Lonchura striata: one gene and its partners. The protein of the gene in region 3 purifies or fractionates together with the protein of the main gene of each other region. This does not show direct contact. Links are inferred from orthologs where the notes say so. Each region holds a gene or a part of one and is shown on either strand. Other genes may lie near its edges.

What was found.
Region 1: the proteins of COPA (region 3) and COPB1 fractionate together in Homo sapiens (co-fractionation; 6 studies listed by BioGRID and IntAct, with this or other methods). This does not show direct contact. The link is inferred for Lonchura striata from reciprocal best matches to the Homo sapiens genes COPA and COPB1.
Region 2: the proteins of COPA (region 3) and ARCN1 fractionate together in Homo sapiens (co-fractionation; 4 studies listed by BioGRID and IntAct, with this or other methods). This does not show direct contact. The link is inferred for Lonchura striata from reciprocal best matches to the Homo sapiens genes COPA and ARCN1.

What each region holds. Positions count from the first base shown.
Region 1 is NC_134608.1:50,406,790-50,414,417, reverse strand, and holds the start of COPB1 (coatomer subunit beta), read right to left. Parts: upstream 3,100-7,628; 5' UTR 2,915-3,099; intron 2,718-2,914; exon of another isoform or gene 2,588-2,717; intron 523-2,587; 5' UTR 462-522; coding exon 371-461; intron 1-370. Other genes in the region: PSMA1 (proteasome subunit alpha type-1), read right to left, coding at 5,486-5,542, 6,032-6,136, 6,831-6,910, 7,527-7,628. UniProt on the Homo sapiens protein: The coatomer is a cytosolic protein complex that binds to dilysine motifs and reversibly associates with Golgi non-clathrin-coated vesicles, which further mediate biosynthetic protein transport from the ER, via the Golgi up to the trans Golgi network.
Region 2 is NC_134625.1:10,937,760-10,945,575, forward strand, and holds the start of ARCN1 (coatomer subunit delta), read left to right. Parts: upstream 1-4,725; 5' UTR 4,726-4,827; coding exon 4,828-4,830; intron 4,831-5,848; coding exon 5,849-6,112; intron 6,113-6,709; coding exon 6,710-6,889; intron 6,890-7,102; coding exon 7,103-7,305; intron 7,306-7,715; coding exon 7,716-7,816. Other genes in the region: IFT46 (intraflagellar transport protein 46 homolog), read right to left, coding at 14-109, 465-550, 828-888, 1,137-1,203, 1,274-1,395, 1,775-1,903, 2,216-2,309, 2,408-2,482 and 3 more. UniProt on the Homo sapiens protein: Component of the coatomer, a cytosolic protein complex that binds to dilysine motifs and reversibly associates with Golgi non-clathrin-coated vesicles, which further mediate biosynthetic protein transport from the ER, via the Golgi up to the trans Golgi network.
Region 3 is NC_134635.1:3,583,145-3,590,602, forward strand, and holds the start of COPA (coatomer subunit alpha), read right to left. Parts: upstream 3,093-7,458; 5' UTR 3,016-3,092; coding exon 2,976-3,015; intron 695-2,975; coding exon 581-694; intron 1-580. Other genes in the region: NCSTN (nicastrin), read left to right, coding at 3,170-3,281, 4,760-4,864, 6,837-6,960. UniProt on the Homo sapiens protein: The coatomer is a cytosolic protein complex that binds to dilysine motifs and reversibly associates with Golgi non-clathrin-coated vesicles, which further mediate biosynthetic protein transport from the ER, via the Golgi up to the trans Golgi network.

The DNA of each region.
Region 1 (7,628 bases), on a different chromosome or scaffold from region 3:
ATACCAACACTGCTGTTTTGGCCAGCACATTCTACAGTGCACTGAACAAGTGACAACATAATTTGTTGCTTATTCCAAAAAAATCTGCTTAAATATGCCTTCGTCCAAGCAGGTATTACTTAAAACGCTCTCAAAAAGAAAAAAAAATCCGATTTTGCACAGACTGGGGAGTACACCAAAGAAATAAAATTATATAATGACATTTCTCTAAACACAGCAAACAGAGGAACATACATCTAGAGCTCAACAGAAAATAAACATGAAACAGACTTGTTTTAGCTTACAAAATGTAAACAATACTCTAGGAAAGGCACAATGAGTGACTAATTCAGGCAAAATGGAGTATCCTTCAATCACTGTCAATACTTGCCTAGGTCATTTTTTAAGCTGATTTCAGAAGGTGGCTCTGAATCCATGGGAACATTGATCAACGTGTAACACACGTTCTCTGCAGCAGTCATGGCTCTTGGTTACAGGAGTTCTCTCAAGGGAAGAATTATTTTCACACAAATGTCAGACAACCTAAAAACCAAGCAAACAAAGCCATCCCAAAGTTAAAAGATTTTATTAACAAACACAAATCATTATATTATTATAACTGACTTAATGGCTTGAAGGGATTGCTGTTTCTTGAGAAGCTACATGCAAAAGGCTTCTTGCTTTGCTACCACCCTGAAATATTCCTGTGAGCACCACAAAGATGAAGAGTATGACATTTTTCAGAGACAACAGAAAAAGAACAAAAACTTTCCAATATTTTGGGCAGTCAGGGATAACAGAAGTGTACAGGGCACCTGACTGAAGGCAAATGGATGCAGCTTCTCCCTTCTGAAGTCATACCCAGCTGTATACTCCCACTACCTTCCCTACACTCCTGTGTCCCTCCAGCTGAATCACCCAAGCTGCAAAATCAGCTGAAAAGCTTCACAGAAGAAAGAGAAAATGAAAAGATAAAGTTCTGAGCTCAATTAACAAACCAAATCAGTCTATGCAGGAAGCTTTGAAGATGAGCATGAGATCCAAGAGAGCAGAAACCAAGGATGGGAGAGAAGACAAAGTGAAGGAGACAGAAGCATTTTATCGCCAGGGATCATCAAATCAGCTCAACTCTACTGTCTCCACTAGACACTAATGAGGAAACCAAGTCTTTTTATGGTGAAAAAGGACAAGAAGGCTACAGATCTATCTAAGCTGCTGTGTGCCTGGCAGTCCAGGTAATGAAATCTGCTATTAAGCTCAATGCTCATTCTCAGATTTGTTTTTCCTTGTGTAATAGATATCTAGGATCAAATCAACCTTTTTGTTGTATCAATCCTCATTCTCATGTTTATTTATTCTTTATATAATAGACATCTAGGATCAAATCAACCTGCTTATTCTATTTCTTAAGTAATGAAAAATGCTCAAGCTTGAGCTTGCTTGGCTAATGCTAATGCTGTGATACTACACTGACAAAGCACAGCAAAGAAAACAGTCACTATTTATTACATGAGCAATTTTGTACTTTCTACAGAAATTGTGTCAAAAATAAATCAGCTTTTATTGACATTAATTGTCTGGAAGTCTGAGACTCCCTTTTCTCATCAAATGGGCACCCAGAGAACGTCACCCTGAACAGGGAGCAGGGAAGTTGTGCTGAGCTGGGCTGCTGTCCCTTTCTCCACAGAGGAAAACAACTCGCATCAATCAGTGCCACAACAACCACCCCAAAAAATACTAGCAATACAAACTTTTAAGGAAACAGTCCTCTTCCTGTTATGAATTCTGTATTTTAAGTCCTAGATCACTCAATCTTGTTGCTTACAAATATCTACATAAACCACCGATTCCTGAAATGACTGGATGTGGCACTTAGTGCCATGCTCCAGTTGACAAAGGTGGCGATCAAAGGTTGGATTTGATGATCTCAGAGGGCTTTCCCAACTGTTTTCTTGCCTCAGCAGCAGCTTTTTTGCTTACATTTCCCATGCTGTTACCCAGAATTCCTGCCTCAAAGCCCTGCAGCCAGCACCTTCAGCTACAAGAACAACTCACACAGACCATAAAGTAGATCCTTGTGAAAGCAGGGCAGGTATCTTTACTCAAAGACCTCAGCTGCAGAAATTTCCAAAATTACAGTGAAACATATCTCTGAAGCATGATAAATGAGTGTACTTTGGGCTCTGAAAAGCAGCAATGAAAAACAACTCTCTTAAAACACAGAGCTGGGAGATTTGGCAGGGAGAACCTGTTTTCCTCCTTGCAAGGCACAAAGACTTGAAATCAGAGAAATTGAGAGCCCACAGGGACACAGACGTAGGTGCTGCTTTAACTCTCCAGCGGTAACATCTCTGTCACCTGTGGGTAGTCACTGAATGAATGGAGTCCGAAGGGACTTTAAAGAGGAATTCATTCCAAACCCTCTGCCATCACCAGAGCAGGTTGCTCAGAGCCCCATCCAACCTGGCCTGGAACACTTGCAGGGATGGGGCACCCAAGGAAATCGAAAGTTGCAGAGTTTACAGAGGCCAGAAGACAAAAAGCCACGCCTGCTCGCCACCTACATCCCCGGGGAGCCTTAGGAACGGGGGCACCTAATGAACCAAACCTTGAGAATGCAGCGCTCCACTGAGGCACAATTATAGCACAGAGCGTTCCAAATGTTTACTAAAAAATCCGGTAAATTTCCAGCCGGCTGGGGGCTATTTCTCCCTTAATGTCCCCGCTCCTACTTCCCCTCCAAACCCGGGCATTTTAAGCTATGAGGCAAAACTTCCCGCAGCGCCGCGGCCGCCTGCCATTCCCCTGAGCACACGCCGAGCGCCGCAAGCCCTCCCGCAGCCGCCCCGGGGCCCTGCCGGGGGACACCGGGAAGCTGCCGCCGGGGCCCCGAGGCCTCGGGCCTCGCGGCGCCCAGCGGAGCAGCGGCGCCCACCCGTTCCCCCCGGCCCCGCGAGGCCGGCGCGGGCGGGCCGCGCGGCTCCGTACAGCGGCGGGGTCGGGCCGGTCCCGGCGGTGTCCCGGCGGTGTCCCGGCGGTGTCCCGGCGGTGTCCCGGCGCTCAGCCCGCGGCGCTGCCGCTCCGCCGATGGCTGACGTGGAGCCGCGCCCGCCCCCGCCACATCGCGCCTACGGCGGCCGCGCCGGGACACGCCTCCCGCCAGCGCGAACGGGGCGGCGCCGCCGCGCGGGAAGAGGGCGGGGCCGGGAGGGGCTGCGCGCGTGACGTCACGAGCCCGAGCGCGCGGCGGGGTTTTCCCGCGCGGGGGGATCCGGGAAAACAGCGGGAAAGAGCGGCCGAAACCGAGATTAAAAGCGCCGCATATATCGACAGAGATTTAGATATAGACAGACACAGATTTTGATATAGATTTTGATATTAGAGAATAGATAAAATAGATATATAGAGATGATATAGATGATAGATACATATAGAGATAGATATTGGACATAGTTATTAGCTATAGCTAATAGATATAGATGATAGAGAGATACAGATATTAGATAGCTATAGATCTAGCTATTAGATAGAGATGATAGATGGTGATAGATTATGATAGAGAGAAATAGAGAGAGATGATTGGAGAGAGATCAGAGAGAGAGACAGAGAGAGAGACAGAGAGAGAGACAGAGAGAGAGACAGAGAGACAGACAGAGAGACAGACAGAGAGACAGACAGAGAGACAGACAGAGAGACAGACAGAGAGACAGACAGAGAGACAGACAGAGAGACAGACAGAGAGACAGACAGAGAGACAGACAGAGAGACAGACAGAGAGAGAGAGACAGAAATATAGAGATGGAGATAGATATAGACAGATATAGATAGAAAGCAATTAGATAAATAACAACCAAAAAAAAGACAATAAAAGGGGGGCTCGGAAATGGTAAAGGGAAAAATAAATAAGAACAAATAAATAGGTGGGGAGAAAAAGTAATTGGGGGAAATCAGTAATGAACTGGAAAAATAGATTACGGGAAATGAATAAAGAAGAGGGTATATAAATAAATAAGGGAAAAGCAAAGGGAGGGAAAATGTGGGGAGTAAGCAAAGGGAGAGAAAAAAAACAATGTGGGGAGAAGCAAAGGGAGAGAAAAAAATGGGGGGTGGAAAAACAAGGGGGAAGCAAGGGGAAGGAAAAGAAGGAAAAAACCAATGGGAAAATAAATAAAGTGGAAAACATAAATAATGGTGAAAAAGTAATTAAGGGGAAAAATGAAAATGAATAAGAGAGGGAAAAATGAGTAAAAGGTGAAATAAGGGAGGAAAGAAATAGAAAAATAGAGAAAACGTAAAATAAAAATAAATTTAGGAAAAATAAAAGCAGCTTTTTCTAACACTTAAAAAACAAATATGCAGCCCTGGCACTGCTGTTCTGCTATTTTCATGACTGAACTATTTGTATGGATTCAAGACAGTATTGAAAGCCTGTTCAAAACAGCACCATGATTTATTGATTTTTGTTTAATTAAGAAATATTAATAAATTATTAATCTGAAGGTTCCAGGCTTTTTTTTTTTTTCAAGTACACTGAGCAGGCTATCAGGGCCTATGTGGGTCCACTCCAGAAGACTATTCCTTGCAATTTTCAATGCAATCACTGGGGAGAACAATTATATTAGTGATCCAACACAGAAAAACACGAACTCTTTCTTGCTTACAATACAGCATCCCGCCCAGGTCGCACCAATTCACTGGACTTCCCTGGCAGATGACCCTGAGGAACTCACTGTTAGTCCCAGACTTCGTGGCATTCAGCCCAAATCCAAAGAGTACCAGTTGCAGACCAAGCTGAAGAGACAAAGCCGTGGAGACCTCTAATGGGAACTTCTGGTGGGTTTTTGTTAACTCCAATTCAGCCCTCAGTGAGCTAAAAGCCCTGTTCTGCCCCAAGACTGGCTGATGGCTCTAAAAAAGACACTGGCAGTTCTAAAAAAGCTGGGGTTGAGCAAATTCCCCCAAAAAAACTGACCTTTTGACTGTCAGCTTCAAATGCCTTTTCAGTTGGGACAAGCTGACACAGGTAAACGCTGTTCCCTGTTTGCTCCATGACTATTTTATGGTTTCATAGGCATTTTAAGATCCCCTCAGTTCTACATGGTAAGCAAACACTCTAACAAATGGTCAAACACAGAATGGCAGCTTGGCATGACACTGCTATTTGTGAATAGCTGTTTTTTCAGACTGAAAAAAAACCCAAACTCACAGCAGAATCCGAGAAAGTGATTTATTTCCACTTGTCCTTATGAGTTAAAGACAGTATCTTTTCTTTATAAAACAGTATCGTGTACTATTTAGAAAATGATTACACCTTTCTTGTCCAAGTTACACCCAGATATGTCCTCCTGTCTATCTTTTAAGGATAGGTGGGTTGGTTGGTTTCTTTCTTTGCGAGCAATCCTCAGAATGTAGTATCATAAAACATATAGAGGTGAGGATAAAGTTACCAGCAAATGGATAAATGTTCCTGGATAATTATACATTAACAGAGGAACTCATCCACCAACTAGTGTTCCATCGGTTCCTCTGCCTTCTCCACAGTTTCTTCAACTGGCGGGACCAGCTTAGAGAGAGGGAAAAGAAATATTTTTAGGAAGGCAGAAGACAACACTTGACAAATCAGCTTTATCCCCATTGGAGCACCATGAGTGGTAAATGCAGCTTGTGTAAGCCAACAGCTCACAAATTACTGTTACCCACATTAAGCACAAGCAGGACATAGTTGGTAATTAGGAAACTACAGAGGCATCTTGCAAAGGGCATGAGAAACATATGCAACCACTTCTGCTGTAAAACTCGAAAGCTCCTACTTGATCAGAGATGAGGAAAGAAGATGACATTGGAACAGCCTGGCATAAATCCAGAATAAACTGATTTAATAAGCATCTGAATTATCAGATGATGCAGTGTTCATATAGTAACTACATATTTTAAAAATTACCTTCCTAATACTCTGGTACAGTAGTAGAGTTAAATTTATGTTAAACATAATAGATAATCTCTAACTATTGTCTTTCAACCAAGCCTATTTATTCATAACTGAACCACTCACCTTTCTCTGTGGTCTCTCCTCAAGACCTTCTAGGAATGGTGCTACATCATCATCATCATAGATGGTAAACTCCATGTCTTTACCCACAATTCCAATTGAAACATTCTGTCAAGCAAAGGGTCAGAAGCAGTGAGAAGCATTTTCCTGCAATTAACTTTGGCTTTACAGCTTTCATTTACAAAAGCTATCAAATTTCAAAATCTTCTAAGTAATGCCATTCAAGGGTTTAAATTTCTATCATTTTCTTTTTAATAACACACACAATTTCTCAAAACCACTTATTTTCAACTCATTTTGATTTTCAGTATTTTATGACCTCTAAAAAACATGGCAAGCTAAGAATAAAAAAACATGGAAAATGGTAGATAATTGGATATTCTAAGAATTTTCTTCTTCAACAGGTCCTCAATTCATTGTCAAAAGTTTGTGCAGCTTTGTGATGCTGGATGCTCTAGAAACTGCTGGTGCATAACCTCCACTCACCGCCCAGGTGAATTACTGACTGTGCTTACAATGCAAAGCTGGGATTCTACAGCCGCAGGTGATGCATCTTAACCACTGATCAAAGCTTAAGATAGAGTGAAGCCACCATGGAAACAGTGTTTTATTTAGTGAACGCATCGTTTTTGTGAAGAAACTTAAACCTGAGATGAACACAGAACAGTAGATAAACTGGCAACCTGAAATGAAGATATTATCTAGCAGTATTCAGCTTCAAAGTTTTGGTGCCAGCCATACTTCCAAGAATTTTGTCACAGTTACTTCAGAGTAACAATGGCAAAGGAAACCTAGTCCTTACCTTGGTGGTTAGATCCTGTTCAGCAGGAAGAGTCTCTCTCAGGGCTCGCAGTCCATGTTTAACTAGCTCATTTAGATTACCTTAAAATAGGATCAGAAAGACATTGACAACCTATATGGTATTACCTCTAGACACTCATTCCGCTTCTTCCTAATCCTAGCTGACAACTCCAAAATCAGCTTGACTCCCAGACTTCCTCTCCTTTCTGAGCAGAGCTGGTTATAAAAGTTTTCCTTGAGAAACCAGCCTTCCCCTATATTTGAGGCCAAGTGCACCCATTTTTGACCCCTGCCTTGATTTAAGCTTTTTCCCCCCAAGCAGGTATTAAATGGTTCCTCATCATCATCCTGTAAGAAAAATAAATTCACCACTTTAAATGCAGCACCTAAATACTTGCCCTGACATACTAACCCTGCTCTGCTATGGAAACATTTTTCCTGAGTTAAAAAGGGCAGAGGCTCTTAACGTTTTTCACAGCTTTTCTTTCCATTAGATGAAATAAACACCCACATGTTAAGACATGAAAATCTCAGCCATATTCTCTAAAATTTTGTCTTTATGCAGATTTACAGTTATGCCAAACTTGGTTCACAATATTTATCTTCATCTCACTCAATGCAAAAGAATGGAGTGGCAGCAGGAGATAAACTGCAGAATTGATGAATACCAGTGGGTAGAGAGAGCTCCACTACTCACAGTCAGTGAACTCAGTCATGTGCCTCTCCAAGTAAGTTCGTGCTGACTGTGAACGAGCACCAATGGACATTGCCTTGCAGTCAAAATAGTTTGCAGAGGGAC
Region 2 (7,816 bases), on a different chromosome or scaffold from region 3:
TTAACGTGAAGGATCAATTAAAGCTCAACACCTCTGCCTCCGTTGCTTGTGAGGGTGGGTTGGATGGTGGGCTCCTGCCCTTCTGCCCATCAGCCAGGGGCTTGAAGTGCTGCAGGGAAAAGAACATGCTCATGCAAGATTTGACTCCCACTGCTCAGAGCACACACATACATCTGAATGGGACGGCCACATGGGCTCTGCATGAGTTGTATGCCCAGCAGCCAGCCCAGGGAGATGCATTCTGGCTTGTGTTGGCCTGTTGAACAACACGGCACCTCAGCCCAGAGCACAGCCCAGCTCCCTGTGTCAGGCAGAGGCATCAGGGAGAGGAGCAGCTGAGAACATGTCCTCTGGGGCCCACCAGTCCTGTGCACACTCCCATTGCCGGCACAAAGCCAAATGTGAAGGGACCAGCTGCACAGTGCTGCTAGCTGGGTGAGCAGCACCTGGGTGGAGCTGCATACCTGCGAGTTCTTGAACTCCAAGAAGAGGGAGAAGAGGACATGCAGAGGGTGGATCCGGCTCTTGTACACGGGGATGTCCAGAATGGCTGCAGGTGAGATCAGAAGCGTGTGAGGGCACCTGGTCTGCACTGCCCCACACAGAGCATTGTCAGGAGGGGCTGAATTCTCCACTGCCCACCATCACCTGGGGCTCCACGCACCAAAGACTGCAGACCCCTGTAGCACAAGAGCCCACCTCCCACTGCAGCAGCAGGAATAATCCTGACTGCTTGGGGCTGAGCCTGCAGCTAAAACTCTCTGGCTTTCAGGGAGAGTGCCAGGCCAGCATCACACGGTGTGAGCAGCACAGCCTCCCCAGCTCACCGCAGATCATGTCGATGTACTCAGCAAGGTCACAGCTCATCTCTGCGCTCGGAAGACCCACCTGCAACAGACGGATCTGTCAGATCTGCTCCCGGACTGCAGGAGCCTGGGAGCATGCAGAGACCACTGGGGCAGCAGCTGGGAACTCCAGCGTTGGGCTGCCCCCCAACTTCTGCCTAGGGCGCAGTTGTGAGGAGGAACAAGCCCAAGAGGACTGGGCTGTGGGATGGGGCAGGCATCCAGCTTTCATGGGGGATGGGTTTCTAAGACCAAGCACTGAGCTAACTACTGGTCACCCAGACAATCTACCTTTCCCAGGAGCTCCTCGAATTCTGGTGACCATTCCTGCATCAGGGTCTCGATGTCAGGCATTGGCCTGCCAGGGAAGAGAAGAACATCAACTTCAGGATCAAACACAACCTTCCACTGCCAACATCAGGGCTCACCTGGAGTAATGGACTGTGGCAGGAGGTTTGCAGCGACGCAGTTCACTAATACTTTCAATCCAGCTCTCAATGGCTTTAGGGTTCTTTTCTGCATTCTCCAAACTCTTCACTTTTATTTGCTGCTAAAAACACAAATATAAACCTGGAAGTGTTTCATGGTGTTTTGGGGCTTTTCGGAAAAGCTGCATTCACTTCTGGTGAACCAGGCCTACTCTCTTTCCCAGCTGCACTTTACCAATGAATTTCTGCAGCCAAAATGCCAACTAAAACTGGGTATGAACAGCCAAAAGGAAATAAAGCATCACCTGAAGTGAACAGACCCAGAGTTCATATCAAGACTTGACTTGATCAAGGCTCAGATCCACTGCAGTTTAAAACTATGGATTACAGCAAAAGGTCTGGTTGCTGCCTTTAAAGTCAACTTCTCAGTTGTAAGAGTAAAATGCCACGGTTTTACTCCAGGAAATGTGCAGCAAGTGTGACCTCCCCCTCCTGACTCACTGTGATGTTGTGCTGCTTGGAGTTCTCTGTCAGCCAAAGGGAGAGCACAGTGGGATCTGACTGCTTGGTTGAGGGCTCATCCAGGACCAGCAGGCCAAGGTTGTCAGGTTTGCCATCAGGACGAGGAACCTGCAGGAAAGCAGAGCCCTGTTCTCTGTGGAGTCCAGGGCAGGTTTGTACAGAGCCTTCTCTCAGATGTGCATTCTAAGTACAGTGCTGCCTGAAAAGCACACGGTGCTAAAGGAGGAGAAGCCAGGCTTTCCCCCAAGTTACCCAAGTGCTGTTTGAGAGGTGACCAAACCACCAGTGCAGTTTATCAGGTCTCTGCCCATCGACAGACCAGACCCCAGGCTACATGGCCTGGCTGCCTACTTGTTCTGAGCCTGAGTTCTGTTTTGGTTTGTGGGGCAGGATGGAGAGAGGAACCTGAAGAAACCATACCTTTAAGAATGCATCAATGTCTCCAACAGCAGGAATAAAGTCTGGAATAAAAGGCTGCAGCTTGTGCTCAATCTCTATTGTTTTGGGAGTGTACCTGGAAGAAAACACCATCACAGCATAGGTGACTAGAAACTGTACTGCAATCATTGACACAAAGAAGAGCCAAGAGCAGGCTAAAACCCTTCCTCTCACCTCTTGATGTATTCAAAGAGATCTTTGATTTCAGAAGACACTTGCAGGTAGTCAAAATCTGCTGGATTGAAGTCACTAAAAGAAGGAAGAGAGTAGAGGGAGAAGATGAGCATGTGGCAAGTTCTGTACAACAGAAATCAGGACCCAGCTGGGGCAGATACATGTGGGAAGCTGAAGCACCAGGCAGTAAGTCATCTCTGGAAAACACTTCTTGCACAGGGAAAGCATTATTGGGCTCCATTTTGCTTTGGATCTGCTGGCCAAGAAAAGCACCTGAGCAATGGACGTCTGAGATCACAGTCCCACAGAGGGCTGTCAAAAGGGGGCTAAGTGCTCTGCACAAGGGCAGCAATAGGACAGCAATTAGGGGGTCAGCAATAGCTTTGAAGCTGAAAACAGTGGAAAAGGAGAAGAATTATGAGGATCTGAGTGACATGTTGGAGATGGTCCTTCCCTTTTCTGGACTTCTCCTGCCAGCCCAGCCTGGCTTACACCTTGGATCACTCCAGCTGTGCCTCTCCTGGGCACAGCAAACAAGCCCGGGACTGGTTCACCAGCTGGAGGAACCACCACCCTGCAGCACGGGGGACGAGGAGGCAGGAGCTGCCTGTCCCAGTGCCCACGACTCTGCTCACCCTCGCGGGACTCGGGAAAACCGGCGGAGCTGTCAGGGCCCGAGAGGCACCCGGCAGCCTCTGGTCAGGAGCAGCGCTCACCCCTCCAGCGCGGCCCCGTGCTCCTCCGAGTCCTCCTCCGAGTCGCTCTCCGAGGAATCTTCCTCCGAGTCCTCATCGTCCTCGTCCTCATCCTCGCTGGAGGCGGCTGGGCCGGGAAGGTGCGCCGCTGCGTCCTCCTGGGCGACAGCCGGGTCTCAGGGGATCTCACCGGGCTCTTACCAGGACCTCACCGGGATCTCACTGGGATCTCACCGGGACCTCACCGGGATCTCACCGGGCTCTCACCGGGACCTCACCGGGATCTCACCGGGATCTCACCGGGCTCTCACCGGGACCTCACCGGGCTCTCACCGGGATCTCACCGGGCTCTCACCGGGACCTCACCGGGCTCTCACCGGGCTCTCACCGGGATCTCACCGGGCTCTCACCGGGATCTCACCGGGCTCTCACCGGGATCTCACCGGGATCTCACCGGGACCTCACCGGGCTCTCACCGGGATCTCACCGGGCTCTCACCGGGACCTCACCGGGCTCTCACCGGGCTCTCACCGGGACCTCACCGGGCTCTCACCGGGATCTCACCGGGCTCTCACCGGGACCTCACCGGGCTCTCACCGGGCTCTCACCGGGATCTCACCGGGATCTCACCGGGACCTCACCGGGATCTCACCGGGATCTCACTGGGATCTTACCGGGCTCTCACCAGGACCTCACCGGGATCTCACCGGGATCTCACCGGGATCTCACTGGGCTCTCACCGGGATCTCACCGGGCTCTCACCGGGATCTCACCGGGATCTCACCGGGCCGCCCCCGCCCGCTGCGCTCGTACCTTGCCCCCGCCGCTCCTGCGCTCGGCCGCTCCGCCGGACCCCGCGGGCCCGCGGGAGTCCCGCGGCGAGCGGGCCCCGGGCTCGGCCTCGGGCAGCTCCAGGCTCTCGTCGTACGGCTGGTTCTCCACCGGGCGAGGCTGCGCCGGGAGGCACAGTCAGCGGCGGGGAGCGGCGGGGCGGCCGCGCCCGGCCACGCGTGTGTCCCGGTGTGTCCCGCCGCACGCCGTGTCCCGTTGATTCCCACCGCACCCCGTGTCCCGCCGTGTCCCGGTGTGTCTCGGTGTGTCCCTCCGCACCCCGTGTCCCGGTGTGTCCCCCGCACCCCGTGTCCCGGTGTGTCCCTCCGTATCCCCGTGTCCCGGTGTGTCCCCCCGCACCCCGTGTCCCGGTGTGTCCCCCCGCACCCCGTGTCCCGGTGTGTCCCGCCGTGTCCCGGTGTGTCCCGCTGTGTCCCGGTGTGTCCCCCCGCACCCCGTGTCCCGCCGTGTCCCTCCGTATCCCCGTGTCCCGGTGTGTCCTCCCGCACCCCGTGTCCCGGTGTGTCCCGCCGTGTCCCGCCGTGTCCCGGTGTGTCCCGCCGTGTCCCGCCGTGTCCCGGTGTGTCCCCCCGCACCCCGTGTCCCGGTGTGTCCCGCCGTGTCCCGCCGTGTCCCGGTGTGTCCCCCCGCACCCCTGTCCCACCTCGGCCCGCCGCGCGTCCCGCCGCGCCGCCGCCGCCGTCGCCATGGCGACCCCGCCCCGCCGCGCGGCCCGGCCCGGGCGCGCCCCCTGGCGGCGGGGAGGGGCCGCCCCGCCCGCCGTGACGGCACTTCCGGGTGCGGACGTGGCGCGGCGCCGCCATCTTGCGGGGCCGCCCGGGAGCCGGAGGGAGCGGAGCGCCCAGCGCCGATCCCGCCGCCGCCGCCGCTGCTATGGTAAGGGCAGGACTGTCCGCCGCGAGCAGCGCAGGACTCGGCACAGCCCCCGGGGCAGCCCTCGGGCTCGCCCCGGCCGCCTGGCCTGTGTGCGGGCCGGCGCTGGACCCGCGGCCTGCTGGGACGGAGCGCGGCGCCGCCGCCCCGCGTCGGGCCGGGCCCCGGGGGCGGCGGGGACGCGGCGCGGACGCGGCGCTTTTTCTCTGGTGACCCGGAGCCACGGTGCCTCCTTAGCACGGCTTCCTGCCCGCTCTAGTTGCGTTCGGGTGTAAGCGGGCTGGTGGGACCCCGTGTCTCGGGGCCGGTCCGGCTCCGTCTGTCCATCGCGGCGGTGTTTGGGTTTCACCGACCGCACACAGCTCCGTCAGAGCTAAACTGTGCCCGAGGTGCGGCAGGGGTCAGCGCTGCCCCGTTTGAGGGTTTCGGATACTTTCTGTCAGGAACAGCAGTTGCGGATTTAAAAGGTTCGAAGCGCCGAACAGAATTATCCTGACAAAAGGAATTAACATCTGTGAGAGAGAAATACAGGGAGGAAGTTTGGGCAGACTGGGAGCTAGAGAAAGTGCGCTGGTGAGTGCCTTGCTGCCCTGTGGGTGTGATAACGCCTGCGAGATGCCCGGGAGTCGTGGCAAGGCTTCGCTCGCCTGGTGCTGAGCGTGCGGCGCTGGAGAGAGATGTTACATTTCACAGCGCTCCTGTGCCGAGCTGTAAGCTGGGACAGCCTGGTGGGAAACTCATGGATAACCCAGAGCCTCCCATAACGCTCCCAGGGGTTGTACACCTCTGTTCGTGTGAAATTGGGAACGATCAGACCTGACAGAAGCAGGGAGAGCTGTCAGGATTGTGTTGGGACAGAACGTGAAATGGAGAGAGAAAGCAAAAGCAGAGATGTCTCTGCTCTTGCCATAGTTCATTCCCTGGTCACAGAGAAAGAGTTAGGGTCTTGTTTAAGGAGGGGTGTGCAGGTGGAGTGTGGTGGGAGGAGATGCTTTCCGTGCTGACACGCTGTCTCCCCCAGGTGCTGTTGGCAGCCGCTGTGTGCACGAAGGCAGGGAAGGCCATCGTGTCCCGGCAGTTCGTGGAGATGACTCGCACCCGCATCGAGGGGCTGCTGGCGGCATTCCCAAAGCTGATGAACACAGGGAAGCAGCACACATTTGTGGAGACAGAAAGTGTGCGATATGTGTACCAGCCCATGGAGAAGCTCTACATGGTGCTGATTACCACCAAAAACAGCAACATCCTGGAAGACCTGGAAACACTCAGACTCTTTTCTAGAGTGGTAAGGACTCGTCACTCCATGAGGTAGCCCAGAGCAATTCTGTTGTGAGGGATCTATTTCTGAACTGGTGCAGGACCACTGTGTGCCTCCACTTGGTAGGTCTGTGCTCCAGAGCTTCCCTTCCTGACTGGACAGAAAGCTCTGAAATTTTGGTGGTACTTTTGAACTCCACATTAAAAAAAATAATCATCAGTTGTACCTCACTTGATGAGACCAAAGGGCTGACTGTAATTTAGCATTAAATGTTCTTTGTACAGTGTTACAAGTGCAGCGCTGCTGTGCAGGGATCCTGAAGCAGCAAGTTTGTGTCTTCACATAGCCAAAGGATTTTCAGGGAATTCACTGGCCCCAGCATGCAGTTGGGTTCTTTTGAGTTAGTGTTATGAGGAAGCTGAGCGGTTATATGTGGATTTTGATTTAGAAAAACTAACAGTGGCACAACTTCGTCTTGTTTGTTGACAATGTAATGGTACAATGAGCAGTATAAAGTTGTGCTGGGCTTGGGTCTGGCACAGCTGTGACCCTGGGATGGTAGAAAGAAAAGTGTCTACACAGTACTGTTTGTGGGTACTCCTTTAAAATGTTCTCTCCTTCTAGATCCCTGAATATTGTCGAGCTCTGGAAGAAAATGAGATCTCAGAACACTGCTTTGACCTAATCTTTGCCTTTGATGAAATTGTTGCCCTGGGCTACCGTGAGAATGTAAATCTGGCACAAATTCGGACCTTCACTGAGATGGACTCACACGAGGAAAAGGTGTTTCGGGCAGTCAGAGAGGTGAGCAGGGACACCTACAGTCCTGACATAAGGTGCCCTGTCTGAGAAACACCACTTTTGCTGTACAGAGGTGTTCTTCCACTTGGTGGGGTTGTGCAATCATTTAGCTTTTGTGAGGGCTAAATGCTTTTTTCTTGACCGGGGTTTTGGGCAACTGCACTTAGTTCCTGCTCAGGTTGCAAAGCTCCATCAGCCTCTTCTCTTTTCCTTCAGACACAGGAACGTGAAGCAAAAGCTGAGATGCGCCGTAAAGCAAAGGAGCTGCAGCAGGCCAGGAGGGATGCAGAGAGACACGGCAAGAAGGCACCAGGGTTCGGGGGCTTTGGCAGCTCGGCCGTGTCGGGGGGCATGACAGCAATGATCACAGAGACCATCATTGAGACCGAGAAGCCCAAAGTGGCACCAGCTCCAGCCAGGTAGGGGGGACAGCAGGTGGCAGATGTTGGAGTCAGTGTTGGCTCAAACCATGTGCCTGGAGGGTCTAACGTGAGTTCCTCATCTGTGTAAGTATTGAGGAGCATTTGTGCCGCATACCACAGTAGTACCTCATAGTCTCTTTGGATTCTTTGGTGAACAATGGGCTTTCACTTTGTGTGAGAAAAAGAGGTCCCAGCTCCCGGTAATACATGGAGCTATATCTGAATCTAAATTATAACTTGGCACCCTACACATAAAACGATCAGTTCCATGCATGTTCTCCCCGAAAAAGGCTGCTGATTTGAGCGCTGTGGTGTTGGGATGGTCAAGTTACAGCATTTGAAGATAACTGGAAAGGGGGAGCCCATTGCTGTCAGCTGACTTGGAGATTATTACACATTTTATTTAGGCCTTCAGGTCCCAGTAAAGCCTTGAAACTCGGCGCTAAAGGGAAGGAGGTGGACAACTTCGTGGACAAGCTGAAATCAGAAGGAGAAAATATCATGACTT
Region 3 (7,458 bases):
CCCCAGAATTCCCAATTTCCCCATTTTCCCCATGTTTTCCCCCCGGAATTCCCATTTCCCCCTCAGAATTCCCAATTTCCCCATTTTCCCCCAGATCTTTCCTGGTTTTCCCCAGATTTTCACCATTTTTCCCCCCATTTTCCCCGTGTTTTTCCCCCAGAATTCCCATTCCCCCCAGAATTCCCAATTTCCCCCAGATCTTTCCTGGTTTTCCCCAGATTTTCCCCATGTTTTCCCCCCGGAATTCCCATTCCCCCCAGAATTCCCAACTTTCCCCATTTTCCCCCAGATCTTTCCTGGTTTTCCCCCCATTTTCCCCGTGTTTTCCCCCCAGAATTCCCATTCCCCCCAGAATTCCCAATTTCCCCCCATTTTCCCCGTGTTTTCCCCCCGGAATTCCCATTCCCCCCAGAATTCCCGATTTCCCCCAGATCTTTCCTGGTTTTCCCCAGATTTTCGCTGTTTTTCCCCCCAGAATTCCCATTTCCCCCCCAGATTTTCGCCGTTTTTCCCCCCATTTTCCCCCCGGCATTCCCATTCCCCCCGGAATTCCCGGAATTCCGGAATTCCCGTCTCCCACCGTCGTGCTCGTCGAACTTGTCGAGCAGGGTGCCCACGCGGTAGTCCCAGAGCTGGATGACGCCGTTGTGGAGGCTGCTCAGCACCCATGGGCGCTTCGGGTGGAACGACAGCCCTGGGAAGCACGGGAAGCATGGGAAAACCGGGAAAACCGGGGAAAAAGCACTGGGAAAAAGTGGGGGGAAAGGGGGAAAAACTGGGGGAAAATGGGGGAAAAACTGGGGGGAAACGGGGGAAAAACTGGGGGAAAAACTGGGAAAAAACTGGGGGGAAATGGGGGAAAAACTGGGGGGAAACGGGGGAAAAACTGGGGGAAAAACTGGGAAAAAACTGGGGGGAAATGGGGAAAAACTGGGGGAAAAACTGGGAAAAAACTGGGGGGAAATGGGGGAAAAACTGGGGGGAAATGGGGGAAAAACTGGGAAAAAAATGGGGGGAAATGGGAGAAAAACTGGGGGAAAAACTGGGAAAAAACTGGGGGAAAAACTGGGAAAAAACTGGGGGAAAAACTGGGGGGAAATGGGGGAAAAACTGGGGGGAAAATGGGGGAAAAACTGGGAAAAAACTGGGGGGAAATGGGGGAAAAACTGGGGGAAAATGGGGGAAAAACTGGGGGGAAAACTGGGAGGAAAATGGGGAAAAAACTGGGGGGAAACGGGGAAAAAACTGGGGGAAAAACTGGGAAAAAAACTGGGAAAAAACTGGGGGGAAATGGGGAAAAAACTGGGAGAAAATGGGGGAAAAACTGGGGGGAAATGAGGGAAAAACTGAAGAAAAACTGGGAATAGCCTGTGAAAATCCTGGGGAAAACAAGTGGGGAAGTGCAAGGAAAAAAACAGGAAAATCCTGGAGAAATCCTGGGAAAATCCTGGGGGAAATCATGGGGAAATCGTGGGGGAAAACTGGGAAAAACTGGGAAAGGGTGGGGAAAAACCTGGGAAAAGGGGGGGAAAAAAACCTGGGAAAGGGCAGGGAAAAGGATCGGGAAACCCCCCGGAAAGGAGAGAGGAAAACTTGGGAAAGGGGAAGGAAAACCCTGAGAACTGCACACAAATCCTGGGAATTCTGTCACACAAATCCTGGGAATTCCAGCACACAAATCCCGGGAATTCCAGCACACAAATCCCGGGAATTCCCTCCAGGGATGGGATCCAGCCCTCCCTGAGCCCCTTCTGGCGCTTCCCAACCCTTTTCCCATGGAAAAATCATCCCAAATTTCCCACCCTGGCACAGCTCGAGGCTGTTCCAATTCCCTGGGATCAGATCCCAAATCCCCCTTTGGATCAGATCCCAAATCCCCCTTTGGATCAGATCCCAAATCCCTGCTGGATCAAACCCCAATTCCCGGGACCCCATCCCCAATTCCCGGGATCCCATCCCCAATTCCCGGGATCCCATCCCCAATTCCCGGGATCCCATCCCAATTCCCGGGACCCCATCCCCAATTCCCGGGATCCCATCCCCAATTCCCGGGATCCCATTCCCGGGATCACTCTCCAATTCCCGGGACCCCATCCCCATTCCCGGGATCACTCTCCAATTCCCGGGATCCCATCCCCAGAATCCCATCCCCATTCCCGGGACCCCATCCCCAATTCCCGGGATCCCATCCCCATTCCCGGGATCCCATTCCCAGGATCCCATCCCCAATTCCCGGGACCCCATCCCCAATTCCCGGGACCCCATCCCCAATTCCCGGGATCCCATCCCCATTCCCGGGATCCCATTCCCGGGATCCCATTCCCGGGATCCCATCCCCATTCCCGGGACCCCATCCCCATTCCCGGGATTCTCCATCCCCAATTCCCGGGATCCCATTCCCGGGATCCCATCCCCATTCCCGGGATCCCATCCCCAATTCCCGGGACCCCATCCCCAATTCCCGGGATCCCATTCCCGGGATCCCATTCCCATTCCCGGGATCCCATTCCCGGGATCCCATTCCCATTCCCGGGATCCCATTCCCGGGATTCTCCATCCTCATTCCCAGGATCCCATTCCCAGGATCCCATCCCCATTCCCAGGACCCCATTCCCGGGATCCACTCCCGGGATCCCATTCCCGGGATCCCATCCCCATTCCCATTCCCGGGATCCCATTCCCGGGATCCCATTCCCATTCCCGGGATCCCATTCCCGGGATTCTCCATCCTCATTCCCAGGATCCCACTCCCGGGATCCACTCCCGGGATCCTTTCCCGGACCCGCTCAGGACTCTCCGTTAGGAGCGGGCTCCATCTTCCCCCCGGGATCCCGCCTCCGCCACCCCCCGAATCCCGGTCCGTCCCGGTTTTCCGCTGTTTGTCCCGCTCTATCCCGGCTTCTCCCGGTTTCTCCCGGTTTCTCCCGGCTTCTCCCGGTTTGTCCCGGCTTCTCCCGGCCTTTCCCGTTTCCCACCTTTCACCCGCGCCGATTTGGTCTCGAACTTGGTCAGCATGGCGCCAGCCCGGCCCGGCCGCAGCCCGGAACCTCCACGTCGGCACCGCGGGGCCGCCCCGGAAACGGGCACCGCTTCCGCCCCGCCGCTTCCGCCCCGCCGCTTCCGCCGGCAACGCGGAAGTGAAGCGGAAGTGAAGCGCCCGCGGGCGGCGATGGCGGCGGGGCCGGGCCGGGGCTGGCCGGGAAGGGGCCGGGATTCCCCGGGAAGGGGCCGGGATTCCCTGGGCGTGCTCCGCGCGCTGCTCGTGGCCGCGCTGGCGGCGGGTGAGCCCCGAGCGGGCGGTTCGGGGGTGCACCGGCAGATTCCCGGTCCCCGTTCCCGTTCCCGATCCCCGTTCCCGTTCGGTTCCTGTTCCTGTTCCCATTCCCGTTCCCATTCCCGGTTCCCAGTCCCCATTCGCATTCCTAATCCCCATTCCCGTTCCCGATCCCCGTTCCCGTTCGGTTCCTGTTCCTGTTCCCATTCCCGGTTCCCATTCCCAGTCCCCATTCCCAGTCCCCATTCCCATTCCTAATTCCCATTCCTAATCCCCATTCCCAGTTCCCATTCCCGGTGTTTCCCGTTCCCATTCCCGGTCCCCATTCCCAGTTCCCATTCCCAGTTCCCAGTCCCCATTCCCGGTGTTTCCCGTTCCCATTCCCAGTTCCCATTCCCGGTGTTTCCCGTTCCCATTCCCGGTGTTTCCCGTTCCCATTCCCAGTCCCCATTCCCAGTTCCCAGTCCCCATTCCCATTCCTAATCCCCATTCCCAGTGTTTCCCGTTCCCATTCCCGGTCCCCATTCCCAGTCCCCATTCCCATTCCTAATCCCCATTCCCATTCCCGGTGTTTCCCGTTCCCATTCCCGGTGTTTCCCGTTCCCATTCCCGGTGTTTCCCGTTCCCATTCCCGGTTCCCATTCCCAGTCCCCATTCCCAGTTCCCATTCCCGGTGTTTCCCGTTCCCATTCCCGGTTCCCATTCCCAGTTCCCAGTCCCCATTCCCAGTTCCCATTCCCGGTGTTTCCCGTTCCCATTCCCGGTGTTTCCCGTTCCCATTCCCGGTGTTTCCCGTTCCCATTCCCGGTGTTTCCCGTTCCCATTCCCGGTTCCCATTCCCGGTGTTTCCCGTTCCCATTCCCGGTGTTTCCCGTTCCCATTCCCGGTTCCCATTCCCAGTCCCCATTCCCATTCCTAATCCCCATTCCCAGTTCCCATTCCCGGTGTTTCCCGTTCCCATTCCCGGTGTTTCCCGTTCCCATTCCCAGTTCCCAGTCCCCATTCCCAGTTCCCATTCCCAGTTCCCAGTCCCCATTCCCAGTTCCCATTCCCGGTGTTTCCCGTTCCCATTCCCGGTCCCCATTCCCATTCTTAATCCCCATTCCCAGTTCCCATTCCCGATGTTTCCCGTTCCCATTCCCGGTGTTTCCCATTCCCAGTCCCCATTAACCAGTTCCCATTCCCGGTGTTTCCCGTTCCCATTCCCGGTTCCCATTCCCAGTCCCCATTCCCATTCCTAATCCCCATTCCCAGTTCCCATTACCGGTGTTTCCCGTTCCCATTCCCGGTTCCCATTCCCAGTTCCCAGTCCCCATTTCCAGTCCCCATTCCCATTCTTAATCCCCATTCCCAGTTCCCATTCCCAGTGTTTCCCGTTCCCATTCCCGGTGTTTCCTGTTCCCATTCCCGGTGTTTCCCGTTCCCATTCCCGGTGTTTCCCGTTCCCATTCCCGGTGTTTCCCGTTCCCATTCCCGGTGTTTCAGCCCCGGTCCGTGGGAACTCGGTGCACCGCAAGATCTACATCCCGCTGAACCACACGGCGCCCTGCGTGCGCCTGCTCAACGCCACGCACCAGATCGGCTGCCAGTGTGAGAATTCCCGGGAATTTGGGAATCTGGGAATGCTGGGATGGGGTGAGGGCTGTGAGGGACCCTCCTGGTGATCCTGCCGGTGTGAGAAATCCCGGGAATTTGGGAATCTGGGAATGCTGGGATGGGGTGAGGGCTGTGAGGGACCCTCCTGGTGATCCTGCCGGTGTGAGAAATCCCGGGAATTTGGGAATCTGGGAATGCTGGGGGGGTGCGGGCTGTGAGGGACCCTCCTGGTGATCCTGCCGGTGTGAGAAATCCCGGGAATTTGGGAATCTGGGAATGCTGGGGGGTGCGGGCTGTGAGGGACCCTCCTGGTGATCCTGCCGGTGTGAGAAATCCCGGGAATTTGGGAATCTGGGAATGCTGGGATGGGGTGAGGGCTGTGAGGGACCCTCCTGGTGATCCTGCCGGTGTGAGATCCATGGGAATTCCTGGGAATCTGGGAATGCTGGGGGGTGCGGGCTGTGAGGGACCCTCCTGGTGATCCTGCCGGTGTGAGAAATCCCGGGAATTTGGGAATCTGGGAATGCTGGGATGGGGTGAGGGCTGTGAGGGACCCTCCTGGTGATCCTGCCGGTGTGAGAAATCCCGGGAATTTGGGAATCTGGGAATGCTGGGGGGGTGCGGGCTGTGAGGGACCCTCCTGGTGATCCTGCCGGTGTGAGAAATCCCGGGAATTTGGGAATCTGGGAATGCTGGGATGGGGTGAGGGCTGTGAGGGACCCTCCTGGTGATCCTGCCGGTGTGAGAAATCCCGGGAATTTGGGAATCTGGGAATGCTGGGGGGGTGAGGGCTGTGAGGGACCCTCCTGGTGATCCTGCCAGTGTGAGAAATCCCGGGAATTTGGGAATCTGGGAATGCTGGGGGGGTGAGGGCTGTGAGGGACCCTCCTGGTGATCCTGCTGGTGTGGGGAATTCCTGGGAATTTGGGAATCTGGGAATGCTGGGATGGGGTGAGGGCTGTGAGGGACCCTCCTGGTGATCCTGCCAGTGTGAGAAATCCCGGGAATTTGGGAATCTGGGAATGCTGGGATGGGGTGAGGGCTGTGAGGGACCCTCCTGGTGATCCTGCCGGTGTGAGATCCATGGGAATTCCTGGGAATTTGGGAATGCTGGGGGGGTGCGGGCTGTGAGGGACCCTCCTGGTGATCCTGCCGGTGTGAGAAATCCCGGGAATTTGGGAATCTGGGAATGCTGGGATGGGGTGAGGGCTGTGAGGGACCCTCCTGGTGATCCTGCCGGTGTGAGATCCATGGGAATTCCTGGGAATTTGGGAATGCTGGGGGGTGCGGGCTGTGAGGGACCCTCCTGGTGATCCTGCCGGTGTGAGATCCATCGGAATTCCTGGGAATCTGGGAATGCTGGGATGGGGTGAGGGAGCCTCCCGGTGATCCTGCCAGCATCAGAGCCCCTCAGCTCCCTGCCCTGCTTTTCCTGGGAATTCTGAGGGGACAAATCCCACATTTCCACCCCGTTGCTCTTCCCTCACTCCCTCATGCCTCTGCCTGGTATCCCATGGATTTCCAGGGATTTTTCATTGGCATTCCCTGCTTTTCCATGGATTTTTTGGTGTGATTCCCTGGCTTTCCATCGATTTCTCTGTGGAATTCTCTGGTTTTCCATGGATTTCCATGGATTTTTCCGTGGGATTCCGTGGAGTTCTGAGGGGCTGATCCCACAGCTCTTCCCCTCGCTCCTTCACACCCCTGCCCTGGTATTCCATGCAAACCCGGGGATTTTTCCACGGGATTCCCTGGAATTCTGAGGGCACGAATCCCCCATTTCCACACTGCAGCTCTCCCCTCGCTCCCTCGTGCCCCTCTCCTGCATTTCCGAGGAACTGCGGGACTTTTCCCCTCAGAATTCCCAAACGTCCACCTCGCAGCTCTCCCTCAGGCCCCCGCCCCGGAATTCCGCGGGAAGCCAGGGATGGGGGCGGGAATGCTGAGGGGCTGCTCGGTCCCGCAGCCTCGCTGAGCGGCGACACGGGCGTGATCCACGTGGTGGAGCGGGAGCAGGACCTGCCGTGGGCGCTGGCCGAGGGCCCCCACCCGCCCTACGTGATCCTGCTCGACGGGAGCCTCTTCTCCAGGTGCCCTGCGCTGGGAACGCCGGGATCCGGGATCCAACCCTCCCCGGCTCTGAAATCCGGGATCCAGCCCCTCCCACACTCTGAAATCTGGGATCCAGACCCTCCCCGGCTCCAAAATCCGGGATCCAGCCCTCCCTGGCTCAGAAATCCGGGATCCAGCCCTCCCCGGCTCTGAAATCTGAGATCCCGACCCTCCCACGCTCTGAAATCCGGGATCCAGCCCTCCCCGGCTCTGAAATCTGGGATCCCGACCCTCCCACGCTCTGAAATCCGGGATCCCGACCCTCCCACGCTCTGAAATCCGGGATCCAGCCCTCCCCTAACTCAGAAATCCGGGATCCCGACCCTCCCCGGCTCAGAAATCCGGGATCCCGACCCTCCCCGGCTCAGAAATCTGAGATCCCGACCCTCCCACACTCTGAAATCTGGGATCCAGACCCTCCCACACTCTGAAATCTGGGATCCAGACCCTCCCCGGCTCCGAAATCTGGGATCCAG